Linked DNA regions of Tamandua tetradactyla. Each later gene encodes a partner of the first gene's protein in a complex. Links are inferred from orthologs where the notes say so. Each region holds a gene or a part of one and is shown in the gene's direction. Other genes may lie near its edges.

Evidence for each region.
Region 2: the proteins of POLA1 (region 1) and POLA2 are in contact, whole or in part, in a cryo-EM structure (PDB 8G99), measured with the Xenopus laevis proteins. The link is inferred for Tamandua tetradactyla from reciprocal best matches to the Homo sapiens genes POLA1 and POLA2. Residues at the interface, in NP_001082055.1 of Xenopus laevis: Gln548, Lys551, His553, Gln554, Asn555, Phe642, Glu645, Val646, Gln649, Asn652, Leu673, Gly675, Arg676, Phe679, Lys1137, Asp1141, Pro1143, Asp1144, Ile1321, Gln1322, His1324, Asn1325, Lys1326, Leu1328, Leu1329, Arg1332, Ile1335, Lys1336, Tyr1338, Tyr1339; in XP_018112289.1 of Xenopus laevis: Met280, Tyr281, Lys282, Phe283, Met284, Phe285, Gln286, Lys287, Leu288, Met289, Ile291, Arg292, Val295, Ser296, Ile299, Glu314, Thr316, Leu320, Pro321, Gln323, Glu324, Thr325, Val326, Gln331, Gly333, Cys334, Asp335, Ser336, Asn337, Gly338.

Annotation. Positions count from the first base shown.
Region 1 is NC_135353.1:149,485,098-149,492,793, reverse strand, and holds the start of POLA1 (DNA polymerase alpha catalytic subunit), read left to right. Parts: upstream 1-4,600; 5' UTR 4,601-4,657; coding exon 4,658-4,700; intron 4,701-7,696. UniProt on the Homo sapiens protein: Catalytic subunit of the DNA polymerase alpha complex (also known as the alpha DNA polymerase-primase complex) which plays an essential role in the initiation of DNA synthesis.
Region 2 is NC_135335.1:9,279,150-9,286,178, reverse strand, and holds the start of POLA2 (DNA polymerase alpha subunit B), read left to right. Parts: upstream 1-4,025; 5' UTR 4,026-4,423; coding exon 4,424-4,502; intron 4,503-7,029. UniProt on the Homo sapiens protein: Accessory subunit of the DNA polymerase alpha complex (also known as the alpha DNA polymerase-primase complex) which plays an essential role in the initiation of DNA synthesis.

The DNA of each region.
Region 1 (7,696 bases):
GGGAGTAACTCCGGCCGCTTGCCACCCCGCCCGGTAAGGCCCGCGCGCCTCGGCGATCTCACCCGAGCTGCTTCTCTCAGCCAGCCAGCCGTTCCAGGATGGGGTACGCTGTCTTTTTTATCTCTGTTGTGGCTTTGGGCGCTTTCTGTATCGTTTCTACTCCCCTAGTAGGTGTCCTGGAGAAGAAACTAAGATCCGCGCGTCTTACTAAGCCGCCATCTTCCAGGAAGTGATCAACATATGAAACAAGAAAATGTTTAAAGATGTTTCCCTTTCTTCCTTCCTTCCTTCCTTCTATCCTTCCTTCCTTCTCTCTGTCTTTCCTTTAAAAAAAAAAAAAAAAAAAATATACTGCTTACAGTAGGATTACACCCACAGAAGTGGATTAGATTTAAAAACATGTTTTTTTCTGGGGTTCATATAACTTCAAACTACTACATTAGTTTTATTTTGCAGTAACTTGGTAAAACAACTTAGATCCAAGCACAGAAATGTCTTCAAAGTTTGTTGATCCATTAGGCCATTAATAAAACTTCTCAAAGATGCTAGAGTGACAAGACAAGTAACTTGGAAATTGTTTCACTTCCTCATAACAATTATTTTAATGGATTGCTGGGGGGTGGTTGCAGACATTTTTCTCACTAACAGAAAAACTTTCAGCCTGGTGTAGAACTGTCTTGGCAAGAAACTGAACATGATATGTTTAGTAATTACCTCTATATACTTCCCAGGCTTTTTGCTGTCTGCCAGCAGGCCTTTCATGATACAACATTTTTGTGCTTAACCCTAGAACCCAGTTCCTTGTATTTTTCTCTTTTTCCCTTACCCTTTCACCATTTTCTCACTTACCAAGGTAAAAGGGAATCTTAATTTTCAACTGTGACTCTGAAGAATTTATTATTATTATTATTATTTTATAATTAAAATTTTTTTAAAACATAACAACAAACAAACATGAAAATCTTACCATATGATCATTCCATTCTTGGTATATAATCAACAACTCACTGAAGAAGTTATTTTGCTGGAGAGACAACAAGTTCAAGGATTTTTAAGAACTTTTCCACCTCTAAATGTCCTTGACCATAGACAATGCAATTTGTGATTATAAGAGAAACACAGTTGAACCTCCTGTGAAAATACGAGGAAAATATGAGGAAAAGAGCAACATACAACATTTCCAAACTTTTGATTCAGGAAAATGAAATTAAATATCTTGAAACAAATCTAAGTAGTTAGGAAACTTCTTGCTTGACCTGGAATCAAAACCAAGATTTGGAAATGGCTTTGCTTCTCTTCACACTGGTCTCCAAAGAAGAACAAAATGTAGGGTGGCTCAGTGGAAGTGTTCTGCATAAATGGTAACTTGGCAGAAATGCCAAAGAAAGAAAAAATTCTGTACCACAGTAGTGTAACTGCTCTAGCTAGGATTAGGGAGAAGAGGGTCATGTGTGTTGGGGTGGCATCAAAATCTTAACTAGCCACAAACAATTGGAAATCGAAATTTAAAAAGCAAGACGAATTTATAATAGCATTAAAAACATGACATTCTTAGGGATAAAGTTAACAAAATATGTACAAGATAGATGTGTTAAAAAACTACAAAAGATCGGTGAAAAAAGTTAAAGAAAATAAATAAAAAGAAATAGAAAAAGTTCAGCAGTACCTCATCTAGACCACTTGGTCTCACCCTTGGTGTACATTGGAGTCCCATCCTCAGAAAGTCTGATTTAATAGGCCTGGGAAGCTACTAGGTAATGGAATCCCACCAGGTTCAAAGACATAGCATCAATCCACAGATGACTTTCAGAACTTGGAATCTAATAGAATTTGCCCTGCTGGGGTTCAGATTTGCTTGGGACCCATGAATCCTTTTTTACTTCCAATTTTTCCCTTCCATAATGGGAATATCTACCCTATGCCTGTCCCACTATTGTATTTTGGAAACTTGTTTTCTAGGTTTCACAAATCCACAGACTAAGAGGAATTTTGCCACGGGATGGACCACACCCATCTAGCTGATTTTGATGAGACTTTGGATTTAGAATTGTTACTGAAATGGCTTAAGACTTTTGGGATCTTGGGATGGGGTGAATGTGTTTGTATGTGGGAAGGACATGGTTTTTTAGGGTCCAGAGGGCAGAGTACAATGGATGGAATTGTGTCACTCCCAAAAGATATGTTTGCATCCTAACCCCTGGTTCTATGATTGTGAACTTATTTATAAGTAAGAGTTTTGAAGATATTATTAGTTAAGATGGGCCAATCAGGACTTTCTGATATGATTGGTGCCCTTATAAGGAGAGGAAGTCTGGACATAGAGAGGCAGAGGCAGAGAGAGAGATTGAATTATGCTACCAGCGAAGGAACTTCATGGATTCCTTATCACTGTCAGAACCCTACAGAAGAAGCGTGCCTCTGCCGACACCATGACTCAGACTACTGGCTTACAGAATTTACAGAAACAATACATTTCTGTTCTTTAAGCCAACTAGTCTATGGTACTTTGTTACAATAGCCCTACGAAACCAAGACAACCAGACTGGATATTTATAAGAACACCAAAAGGCCAATGGTAATAAAATTGCTCATTTTAATAGCTGTGAAGATAATCTAGACCAGAACCTAGGGGATTGTGGCAGGCTTAACCTTGGGGTGGTTAAAACTTGGAGGAGGCCTAGAATATGCCAGGTTGAGAGAGGTGTGAGGCTTTGCATGTGCTGGGGTGGAATGGGGGTGGGGGTGAAAGCGCAAAAGCCACTCTCTTCTGCCAGCACTGCTCCCCTGCTTCAAATTGAACTATCTAAGCATAATTTAGAAATCAGGATTTAAAGGATGATTTTGATTACTGAATCATTACATAGACAGTCCTTTTTGCTTTCTGGTATATTGGAGAAGATAGAGGGAAAATACTGAAATCTCTAAATTGTAACCCAGCTGCCTTGATCTCTGATAATGATCGTATGGCCTTTATCTTCTGCCCCTGTGATTGCAAAAACCTTGTGACTAACCTTCATTCATACGGAGTTATCCAGTTTTTAACTTTAGAAGTCTTGTCATTACTAAAGACAGCCCCTAATGTTTATTAATGAAGGGTCTTGAGGCCCAGACCTAACCCACTCCAAGTCCAAAGTAATCTTGAGAACCGAGACTGGATCTAAGCAAAATGGATCGGGTTGACATGTGCAGTAGCTTAGACTTTAACCTAAAAGTCACCTATACATCGTTCTGCCATTTTCTTACACATGTTCTGTGACTAAGCATGTAATCAATCTGTGCATGCTCAATAATTAGATTGCCTCTAATTATATCATCTGGGGCCACTGTGGTCATTATCCTAAACCTCACCCATCTTTTCTATAATAAAACTATCAGAATTGCTGCAGTTCAAGGAGACAGATTTTGAGTCACTACGCCATCTGCTCTCTTACTGTGCACCTAGTAATAAAATTCTTTCTCTCTGAAACCCCGGTGTCTCAGGAATTGGTTATTGAGCACATCGGGTAAATGAATTCACGGCCTTTAGTAACATAACTGAGTTCATTTTGGGGTGATTAAGATAATTTCTCTCGAAGAAGTAAAATACACACTCTGTGTATCATTTTTCCTTTAACTTTTTATTTACGAACAGAAAAGTTTTGCCACATTTGCTTTATCTCTCTTTGCTAGACAATTATGTCACGCCTAAGCATCTCCTTAGAATACGGACATTCTCCTGCACAACCAAAACTTATCACCCCAAAGAAATTCAACACCGCTCTAACAATAGCTTATATTAAATTCCCCAATGTTCTCAAATAATATTCTTTACAGCTTTGTTTTTAATATGCAAGCTCTGATCAAGGCTCAAGTTGTTCTGTCTCTCTGATCCCCTCACCACTTTTTTTGTCTTTCGTAACGTTAACATTTTAGAAGAGTTTAATACAGATATTTTATAAGTTGTCCTACACTTTAGATACGTCTGATTGTTTCCTCACGGTTAGATTCAGGTTTAACGTTTTTTGCAAGATTACAGAGGTGATGTTCTTTTTTTCAAGCGCATCGTATCAGAGGCATATGAGGTCAGATTGCCCCTTACTTATTAGTGACGCTGTTTTGGCCATTTGATTAGGGTCGTGTATATACCTTTAAGTGGTGGCTTATTAAAAAAAAATTCACATAACAACCTTTAACAATGTGAGAGGCAAAGTATCTAGCAAAACTCAGAGCGCACAGCAGGAGGCAGTCGCTTTCCCAGGCTTCTGGAAATACAGTCCGACCACGCCCACTATCCTGCCCGCCCGCGCCTCTTTTCCCAGAAAATCAACTCTCAGAACCAGGGAGCCTCTATTCCCACGCGCCCAAGTCTTTTCCTTCAGCATGCGTGCGCCTGCGCAGCGAGTCTCCAGAGGGCTCCTTTCCAGCGCCCGGCCGCTTCTTTCTCCTCCTCTCCAGCGGCCCCGGCTCAGCTCTAACCTTCCCTAAGGGGTCATCACAGGGCGCCAAACGCGAGCCCGCGGCAAGGCCAGGGGCGGGGCCCAGCGCGGCGGCACGTAAGTGGCCTTCCGGGCGGAAGTCCACAGCCTCGGGAGCCGCTGATTGGCTTTCGGGCTGGCGCCTGTTTCGGCCCCCGCGCCAGTTTCGGGCTGGTTGGCGCGGAATCGGGAGATTCGGAACCATGGCGCCGGTGCATGGCGACGACTGCGAGCCGGGGGCAAACGGTGAGGGACGGCCTCGCGCGCGGGATGTCTAGTTGGGAGTGTGGGGACTGCGGCAGGAGTGCAGGTGGTGCAGATTTTGGGGGTTCTCCCTAATTTTTTTCTCAGGGTGGCGTGGACCACCGTCGTCTTGGGCGGGAGACCTTACAGTATAGGACCGGGCTTTCTTCCAGGGCCATTTGCTTCTAGCAAACCCGTGCAACACCTTGCGTGTCTTTTCTGTTTGGGAGGCTGCTTCACCTCTGTCACTGAGGGTCACCGCACTTGCCCTTCTTTATTTTTATTTCTTTTGGTCACTTGCACCGCACGTGTTGGGCCTATCTTTGAGACTGGTGTGGGCACTATCTTGGCTGAAAGTGTTTCACTACTTCGGTGCCAAATATCCGTTTAAGAGCTAGGATTGAATAGATGTGCGCCCCCCTTTCTAAGAACTGCGAGGAAAATTGTTATGTGTTGTAACTTAACAGGAAAGAAAGCTCTAAGTGCTGTCACTAGATACGAATGCATTTTGTATTTTTAGGTAATGGGTTTCTACTTTATGCATTAACAGTTTTTTCTTTCAGCTTCAGTGCAAAGTTTTTCAAGTGCTGCATAGAAATAGTGTTCACAATCTAGTCATTTCGGGTGAAGTTTCTGAAAAAAAAAATGCACCAGTTGGGCAGCATTTTGGATGCCTTGTGTATCATTCAGTTACAAATGATTTTTTATTTCCAAAAATAGAATAAAAAAATGTAAATGGCTTTGTCTGATTTCTGATTTTTGAACAGTGTTCAACTAAAGTGTGACTTCTTCGCTGAGCTCCTAACTTAAAATCAAATGCTTCACTTTCTTACTCAAGCTTCATATCTCCTGCCACTCAGATATATCACCATTAATGAGAACTTGCTCCCTAATCAGCTTCCTTTTGCATTCACCTAGTTGTGAATCACACATTTCAATTTGTTCTAGCCTTCCGTTTTTTAAGACAATTTATTCTGGAGCGTTAACTGGCCTGGATTACAAATGGGATGTAAGGTGTGAGTGTGTCTTTGCAGCCCTCTATCAGTGATTTGCCACTAAGCCTTTCTTTCTAAAAACTGTACGTCATCCCTGAACATCAAGAAATCACTCTGGATGATACTGTGCAATCTTGAGACCCCTTTTAAGTCATGGTATTTGATTAAGTAGTTGCTGGGCACTTGTGACTGGAATCTTTCCTTTAGAGCAGACTGAACTGAAAGATTGTTGGCTGAAAGACTGTTGGAGGTGAGTCTATCTGCTTTTGGGGCAGATGGTGGTATTATAAATGGTAATTGTGAATCACATAAACTTTTGTTCTTGGGTTTTTTCATGCTTATTATTATTTTTGCTAACTACACGAAACATCGGAAACGTACCCCAAAAAGGAAAATCTAGGCCTTTTTTTTCTTAAGTGTTAGAATGGGGTACCTTGACAATGCTGTGAAAAGTTGAAAGGTCTATAGCTGGCTGCTATTATATATAAAAAGAGACCAGGGAGAGTTTAATGATCAAAAACGCAGATGTAATAGTTCATTTATTTGTTCATCCAGCAAATATTTATTATGTACCTACTAGGCATAGTCATTCTGCCAGGCTCTGTTAAACGGTGGGTAGACTCGACATGGTTTCTGTCCTTAGTGCAGTTGAGATGATAAACATTTAATTATTTGCAGTACTATGTTGAGACTTCCCTGAGAAAGTTGTTTTGCTTTATTTCTGTTTTCTAAAAGCTAGAGCATTGTACTGCCAGGAATGAGTGTGTACATATATATGTATATGTCACTGCCCTGCATCTCTATACACACACGGACTCCTCTTGTATTGCTAGGTACAAAGTAAGATAAGCATCTTCATTTAATCCTTACCAACTTTACAAAGCAGACATGATTATCCCCATTTCATAGATGACGGCGCTGAGGCTCTGCATTAGTCAGAATCCTTAGCGTAAGCTATAGGAACCAATTCTAACTGATTTAAATAGAAAAATAATTTATTAGAATGTTATTGGGGTTTTCACAGAAACTCCAGGAGGACAGGAGAGCCAGTGTGAGGGTTGCTTAGCCAGGAACAGTGCTTAAAATTGTGCTACTAAACTGGTTCAATGAGGAGGTAATTCTCAAATGGCCAGCTACTTGATGCTTTAGCTTGTACCTTGCAGCATTGGGCGTTGTTGCTCCAGACACTCAATCCTCCTCTAACTGTTGCTACTTTCATAATCTTCTTTAAGGCCCCCTTCCACCTCCTTGTGACATTAGCTTCTAATTTAAAGTCTGAGAAGGTGTTTCTAACTAGTAGAGCCTAGTTTATATGCTTCTGCCCTAGCTGCTAGGGAATCTGGGAAAGGGCATCTGGCCTTTTCAGCTTAAGTAGTGGGATGTGGGCTCTCTCTCCCAGCAAGACTTGTCAGGAGGGAATCTCACAACCAGTTTCAGAAGCTGGGCAGCTTAAAAACAAAACAAATCAAGGCTCAGAGAGGTTAACTGGTGGTCTGATGTAGCCCAGTAAATGGCAGAGCTGGGATGTGCTGCTTTTCTAAATCTGGTTCTTCCACTCACTCTACACTCTCACATTGAACTTACCTGAAGGTGTTAATACTGACTTTATCTCTTGGTTTCTGAATACATGCTGCATTTTTATACCTCTAATTTGGGTCATGCCTTTTCTTCTGTTTGTGCCACTTTTTACCCTGTTCTCTAATGGTGAGATCTACTCTTCTTTCTAGGCCTATATTTGAAATCTCTCTGTGAAACCTTTCCTGATTTCTCATGCAGAATTTAATGGCTCTTTTTTCTACATTTTCTCAGTACTATGTTCTTTTTTTCTTTGGTATGCTGCATGGTGGGGGGGGGGGTCACATTTCATTCTTTTTCCATGTTAGTATCCTGTTATTGCAGCACCATTTGTTGAATTTTTGTTTGTTTGTTTTTCCTTTCTTTGTTTGCTTCTTTTTGGGGGGAGGGGGAGAGTGCAGGGGCAGAGTGCAGGGGCGGGGAATTGAA
Region 2 (7,029 bases), on another chromosome or scaffold:
AACAGCAAGAGATTTGAAATAAGAAGTGGACTCTGACGATGCGACTAAATCGCTGCAGTCTCACAATAAAACCTGAATGGATGAGGAGTTGCTTCTTACGGAGGAACAAAGAAAGTTGTTTCTTTAGATGGAATCTACCCCTGGTAAAGATGCCATGAACACTGTGAAATGACAGCAAAGGATTTGGAATAGGACATCAACTTAGTTGATAAAACAGTGGCAGGGTTTGAGAAGACTGACTTCCATTTTGAAAGAAGTTCTATTGCGGGTAAATGCCATCAAACAGCATCGCATACTACAGAGAAATCCTTCATGAAAGAAAAAGTCGATTGATGTGGCAAATTTCACTGTCTTTTTTAAGAAATTGCTACAGCCCTCCCAATCTTCAGCACCCACTCCCCAGGTTGGTCAGCAGCCATCCATTTCGAGGCAAGACCCTCTACCAGCAAAGAAATGATGACTCTCTGAAGGCTCAGATGATAGTTGGCATTTTTTAGCAATGAAAGCATTTTTTAATTGTGAAAAATAACATATATACAAAAAGAAGCTGTCAATTTCAAAGCACACCACAACCATTAGTTATAAAACAGATTCCAGAGTTTAGTATGGGTTACTGCTCCACAATTTCAGGTTTTTACTTCTAGTTCCGCTACTAGAGACTAAAAAAAATCAATATAATGATTCAGCAATCACATTCATTTGTTAAACCCTACCTTCTCTGTATAATTTCACCATTACCTTTGATCTCTCTTCCACTCTTTAGGGGTATTTGGGCTATGCCTATTTTAATTTTTTCATATTGGAAGGGGTTGTTAATAATAAGGGGTAGGAGGATGGAACTAGCTGATGTTCTGGAAGGGCTGGCCCCTCTGTGTTTCAGAACTTATTTTGAGTTTGTAGGTTTCTGGAAAGTTACCCTAGTGCATGGAAGCATTGTAGAATCTTATATGTTGCCCTAGGTATTCTTTAGAATTGGCTAGAATGGTTTTGGTTGAGGTGTGCCAAGTTATGATAGGTAGCAATGTTTAACTGAAGATTGCACTTAAGAGTGACCTCCAGAGTAGACTCTCGGCTCTATTTGAACTCTCTCAGCCTCTGATACCTTATTTGTTACACTTCTTCTCCCCTTTTTGGTCAGGAAGGCATTGTTGATCCAACAGAGCCAGGGCCAGGCTTATCCCTGGGCAATGAAGTATTTTTAAATTAAGGTATCTACATTGGCTTTTTAGACATTCATTTATTCACACTTAATAGATTACAGTATAATGTAAACCTAATTTTATATGCACGAAAACCAACAAATTCTCGGGACTCCACCAATGCAAGGTGGTGGTGGTGGGGTGGTGTATGGGAATCCTGCATTTTATGCACGCCTGGTCTGTAAACCTCCAACGACTCCAATATAAAAAAATAAATTTGTGACTCGCTTTATTGCAATATATGCTTTATTGGTGATCTGGAACAAAACCCACAATATCTCTGAGATATGCCTGTAATAATTCAGAAAAGGATTGAACAGAGGGAAGGAGGGGCAGTATCATACCTAGCACAATTGACAGCCAGAGCACATTACTTGTTAACTCTCCCTCTGTTTTACAACAAAATTATTTTCAGTAATCATCATGAAATGAAACTATAAGCTGTGTTGAAGGCATTAAATATTTCAAAATAGATCTGGCCACTGTTTCAATAACCTCTTCTTTTGCTTTTTAAATTTTTCTTTGTTGTGCTCTACTGGCTTGGTGAGTTTTTATGTTGAGCCAATGCCCAATGCCCCCTTCACATTCATCTAGCTTCTGCAGTGAAGGGATTTTGCAGGGGTCCTTAAGCTTCCAAGTTAGCTGACCTTAAGAAAGGGAGATGGGGTGGGTCACGGTGGCTCAGCAGGCAGAGTTCTCGCCTGCCATGCCAGAGGACCCGGGTTCAATTTCCATGCCTGCCCATGAAAAAAACAAAACAAAACAAAACAAAAAATTATCTGGGTAGGCCTGACCTAGTAACATGAGCCTTTTAAAAACCAGACGTTCCTCTGGCTGGTGGGAGAAGAGAGAACAAGAGATTCAAAGCACAAGGGGTATTCCACGTGCCATCTCTGGCTTGAAGATGGAAGAGGCCAAAGGTGTGGGTGGATTCTAGGAGCTGAGAGTGACCCCTAGCTGACAGTCAGCAAGAAAATGGCCCTATAGAGGCAGAAAACGTATTCAGGTAACAGCTTGGAAGAGCGTGGAAGTGGATTCTTCCCCCAAAATTCCAGAAATGAATGCAGTCTAGTCAACAACTTGATTTCAGCCTGGTGAGACTGGGGTCCTGCATGCCCAGACTGCTTTTCTGCAGAACTGAGCTAACAAATGGGTGTTGTTTTAAGTTGCTAAGATTGTGAAAATTCATCACATAGCAACAGAAAATTAATAACCCCTGCTGCCTGCACCAAGATGGACTTCTCCCATCCTCTACCCTTGCTACTCACTAGCAAGAGGCCTCGGGGGACAGTAAGGCGGTTTTGCCTTCTCATCCCTCCCCGGAATTTGGTAAATAAGTAGACCATATCCCACTCCGTGCTGCCCGGCTGAGGCCAAGATGGGCTGCACCCATCCTGCTCGGCCCCTGCACTTCATCTCATCCAAGGTGCCCTCTAGAAGTCTTTGGCCTCCTTGGTGCAGAGTCTGAGAGTTGCTGCTCTGGGGAGACCCTTACTCTCCCTTATCACTTCCCTAAGGTTGGATGGTCAAACTGTCACCATTTTTTTTTTGATGTTGTAAATAAGGCTATAACGAAGATCTTTGGGCATAAAACTTCCTCTGGATTTTGGATGGCTTCCTTAGGATAAGTATTATTGAGTCCAGAAGAATGGATACTTTTTTGGCTCCTGATATGTATTGCCAAACGATTTTCAAGACTCTACCAGACAGGCATCCTGTCACCAGAGTATGCCACCTAAACTCATTTAATCTAAGCTGAGAGAATGGAGATTCTGGCTCAAAGAATTAGGGGAAAATGTGCGGGTGGGAGGTGTTCTCTTCTCAGCGTGTTCTCTCCCTTAGCAAAAGCTAGAAATGGATGGTTATGCTGTTCCCTCCCCAGCCATGACTACCTTGAAACCAATTTTCCAGCTGTGGGACTACAAAGAAAAAATTAACAGGGACTGCAGAAATAAAAAAAGGGAATGGGGAGCTGGGGTGGGGGTGGGGGACAATTCCATATACTAACTACTTCAAGTTATCAACCTCACCCCTACCTCCTCCACCTTCTTCCACGGGATGGCTGACTGATACTTTTCCATTACCCTTACCCTGACTATAAAACTTAACCAAAGCCTGCTTCCCATCAGAGCTGAGTTCTCCTTCTCCCCTACCATAAATAAATCATCCTTGCCTGTTGAACACTGCCCAGTAAAGTTTTCCTTGGACAGTTATCAGGTCCGCATGCCCAGCTCCACTCCCCCTGCTGGAACCCTCCAACTGGAAATCCCAAATGGCATCTCAAACCCAACGTGTCCCAAATGGAATAATTTCTGTCACCGTCCCAGATCCAGAAAACAGAACGACCGCTGTGGTAGAGGCCCACGGTGGTAACCATGGCAACCAGACTGCCCACCGAAGCCACCCTTTCAAGATAGAGCAAGGGCACAACGAGGACAGAGGTGACAAGGGAGCAGAGGAGGTAAAAATGTACTGCAGGGGCCGAAACGCACTGGAACTCATGTTCATCACAGCGCCTGCGCACCCAGGCAGAAGTCAAAAGGGTGCTGACCTTGGCCGAGCAGAAGTTCCGGAAAACATCAGCGGCTGCCGCGAAAACGCAGCCCCGGGGCTGGCGGTCCCGGCGCGTTGCCCCCTCGAACCTCGGCTCTTGCGCCGGAAGAGAGACAAACTGCGCAGCCGCCGTAGGGCTGGTTGGCCGCCACGCGGGGGCGCGCGAGCCGACGTGTTGGCGTTTGTACGCACGCGCTCTCCAACGCGCGTGCGCGCGCGGCGGCCCGGCCTTGAGGGGTGGGGGGGTGAGTGGAGGAGAAGGGGCGGGGTTGAACCCGACTTCGCGCATGCGCACGCCGCACGACCCATTTGGCGGGATTTTGCCGGCTGTTCGTTTCTGCCCGCGTCCCTCGGGGGTTCAGTGGGATCTTTTAGGAAGCGAGACGAGCTCCCCAGGAAAGCAAACTTCTTCCCGTTTACTGCTCGCTCCCTTTGGGATGCTCGGAAGCTCCCCACACATCTTCAGAAGTGCTTTCCTGTGACTGACGGCTCGGGCCTCCTGCCTCCCTGAGGTTTGGGGCCCTCTGGTCACCTTGCGTTTCGATCCCCCGGAGGGCGACAGGGTAAGAGGCACCTTACCCGGTTCGACGGTCTCCCACGCCCGCGAGTTGCTTGGGCTCGGAGGTGGAAGCTGGGTGGGCTCGGCTGGCCGGCCAAGCTCCTGGGTCACCATGTCAGTGTCCGCCCAGAACCTGGCGGAGGAGTTGCAGATGTTCGGCCTCGACTGCGAGGAAGCTCTGATGGGAAGATGTGAGTACTCACCCCCCTCCGCGGGCCCCCGCCGTGGGCCTTCCTCTCCCCCAGGTCCCCAAGTCACCTGGAACATACAGGGCAGCGCTTCCAACTTCACCTCCCCCTAACCCGAATTCTCGGTGGTTGTGAGATGCAAAATTAAACAGTGGTTTGAGGTAAAGGATGTGGACACCTTGAAATGCTGACGGGGTACTGCTTGAGTCCCCCAAAATAAGAATATGAGGCACGGTTTTAACTCAGTGCAGTTACAGATTGATGGAATTGGGTCGCACTAGGCTCAGACTAGGCCCCAGTGACATCCCTCATAACAGAGCAGATAGGGGATTTTTGAAGTGGAGCTTGCTATTCCTGGCTCCTCTCTTTCCATCCTATACTTTAAACTTCTGCTGATGTATTGTTTCCCTCATCGAGGCTGCTGGTGGTCTGTGCAAATATGCCTCCCCTTTTGGGGGTGGGGGTGGATGGAGATTGTTCCTAAAATTGAATTTTAGCTTTGGAAGGGACTTTGAAGGAACTGTCAGCTGCTTTTGTTTATAGATGGAGAAATAGGCTGGGAAAGTTAAGTACATGAGCTGGTCAGTGAACCCGGGCTTCCCGCAGTCCTGTCCAGGGCTCATTCCATCATATTCTGCTCTAGAGCAGTGTAAGGAGTTGTTTGAAGCAGACATAAAAATCTCAGGAGATGTGAAAATTCTCAGTCTCAGAATCAGGACCAGTGTGCACCTGCCTCAACCGGTTGTCAACACTTTAAACTTCTTTGTCTGTATTTAAAACCAGAACTCAAATATATTAATTTAGGAGAAATTCCTTTCGCAGAGACTAGAATTTTCCCAAGTTCTTAAGCCCAGAGTATTCTCTTCCTGAAAGGAGACTTATATGAGAAACCCAATCATAGCCAGAAGTTTATTTGATGAACATGAAATCAAAACGAGAAATTAGTTATGTGAACCAAATATGTAAAGACTTCAGCCCAAAACCTTGGCGGTGGCATCTTTGATTTCATAATCATTATCTTCAAGGGGAGGCTTTGAGGTTGCCTGACAATCATACCATATTTCCCCCAGTCAGTTCACTCTGGGTGACTCTTTTCCACCTTCTCCTTAAACAACCTCTTCCCCAGTCCTCACTCTCAGCTGATGAATTCACTTCCTGTTTTGCTGAGAAAATGGAAGCAATTAGAAAACTTCCATAAGCCACCACCTTCACTTCCTCCCACTCACTTGCCTCTGTGCCATATATCTAGGCTTTGGTCCTCTCACAATATACTCTCCGTATTCCTAACAGAAGCCAAACACTCCCCTGAGTCCTAAATCTCATTCCCTCTCATGCAAGGATATTACTCCATAATTCACCCCTCTTACCTATTTTGTCTTTTTCTCTCCACAAGATTTTTTTCCTATTGTAACCATTGCCCTGCTGGCAATGGGGCCAGCTGAGCCCCGATCCAAATTTGTTAGTCTTGAAATTAAAAGAATTTAGAGACAAAAGGGCCAGTAGGTATAGGTATAAAGTTTATTAAAGAGAAGAAGAGAGTGGCAGAATTCTCACCTGCCATGCCAGAGACCGGGGTTCGATTCCTGGTGCTTGCCCATGAAAAAGAAAAAAAAAAAAGAGAGCGAGTACGCATTAAAGAGGTTAGCACAGATGTGCCCAAGGGAGGGACACGCACTGAGTGGAATGGGCTAGCTTGTTTTATAGGAAAGCTTTGTTGGTAGCAGCTTTCCATAGTAATCTTTGAGCACCAGGTGTCTTCTTGAGGCAGATTCCTTTGGTGGCCTTTGAGCGCCAGTCAGGTGTTTTCTTTCTTTTAGGAAGTTTTAGGAGGAGATAGAGGAGGAGATAGCTAGGTCCTGGTTTGCTGTCACATACTTAAAATTTGTCTTTGAGCAAATAGTTAACAATCTTTATGACCCTGTGCTTTCTATCATTCCCAGAATTTTGCAGTCTTTTATGGTTTGGGGAGGTTTGGAGACTTTAGGAAAATTTTTGTCCCAGGAACTTCGCAGCTAAAATTTGGAACTTTGTATTCATTCCTTTGGAGCTAGATAAGAAACAAGGGACTTGCGGTTGTCTCTTAACTCTTTCAGAGCTGAATAGGAAACCAGGGACTTACAGTTGCCCTATTTTATCCTGCTTCACTATTAGCTTGAAAACATGGTTCTTACTTCCATCTCTTAAAACACTCTCTTGACCCCTCTTGCCAACTGTTGCCCAGTTCTCTCCTTCCCAACTACAGCAAAAATCCTCAAGATGGTTGTCTAGTCTCCTTATCTTCAGGTTTTTCTTATCCCACTCTCTTAAATCTATTTCAGTAAGCTTTTTCACCCCTGCCAATTAACTAAAACTGCTTTGTCAAGGTTACCTGTGACCTACACTTTGCTAAAGCCAGTGATGGAGTCTCAGTCCTCTTTCTGAACTGTCAGCAGCATTGGATGCCATTTGTCATTTCTTCTTTAAAACACTTTTTCTCTTAACTTTTCAGATTCTGCTCCTAGTTTTCCTCGTACCTGGCTTGTTCTCACTC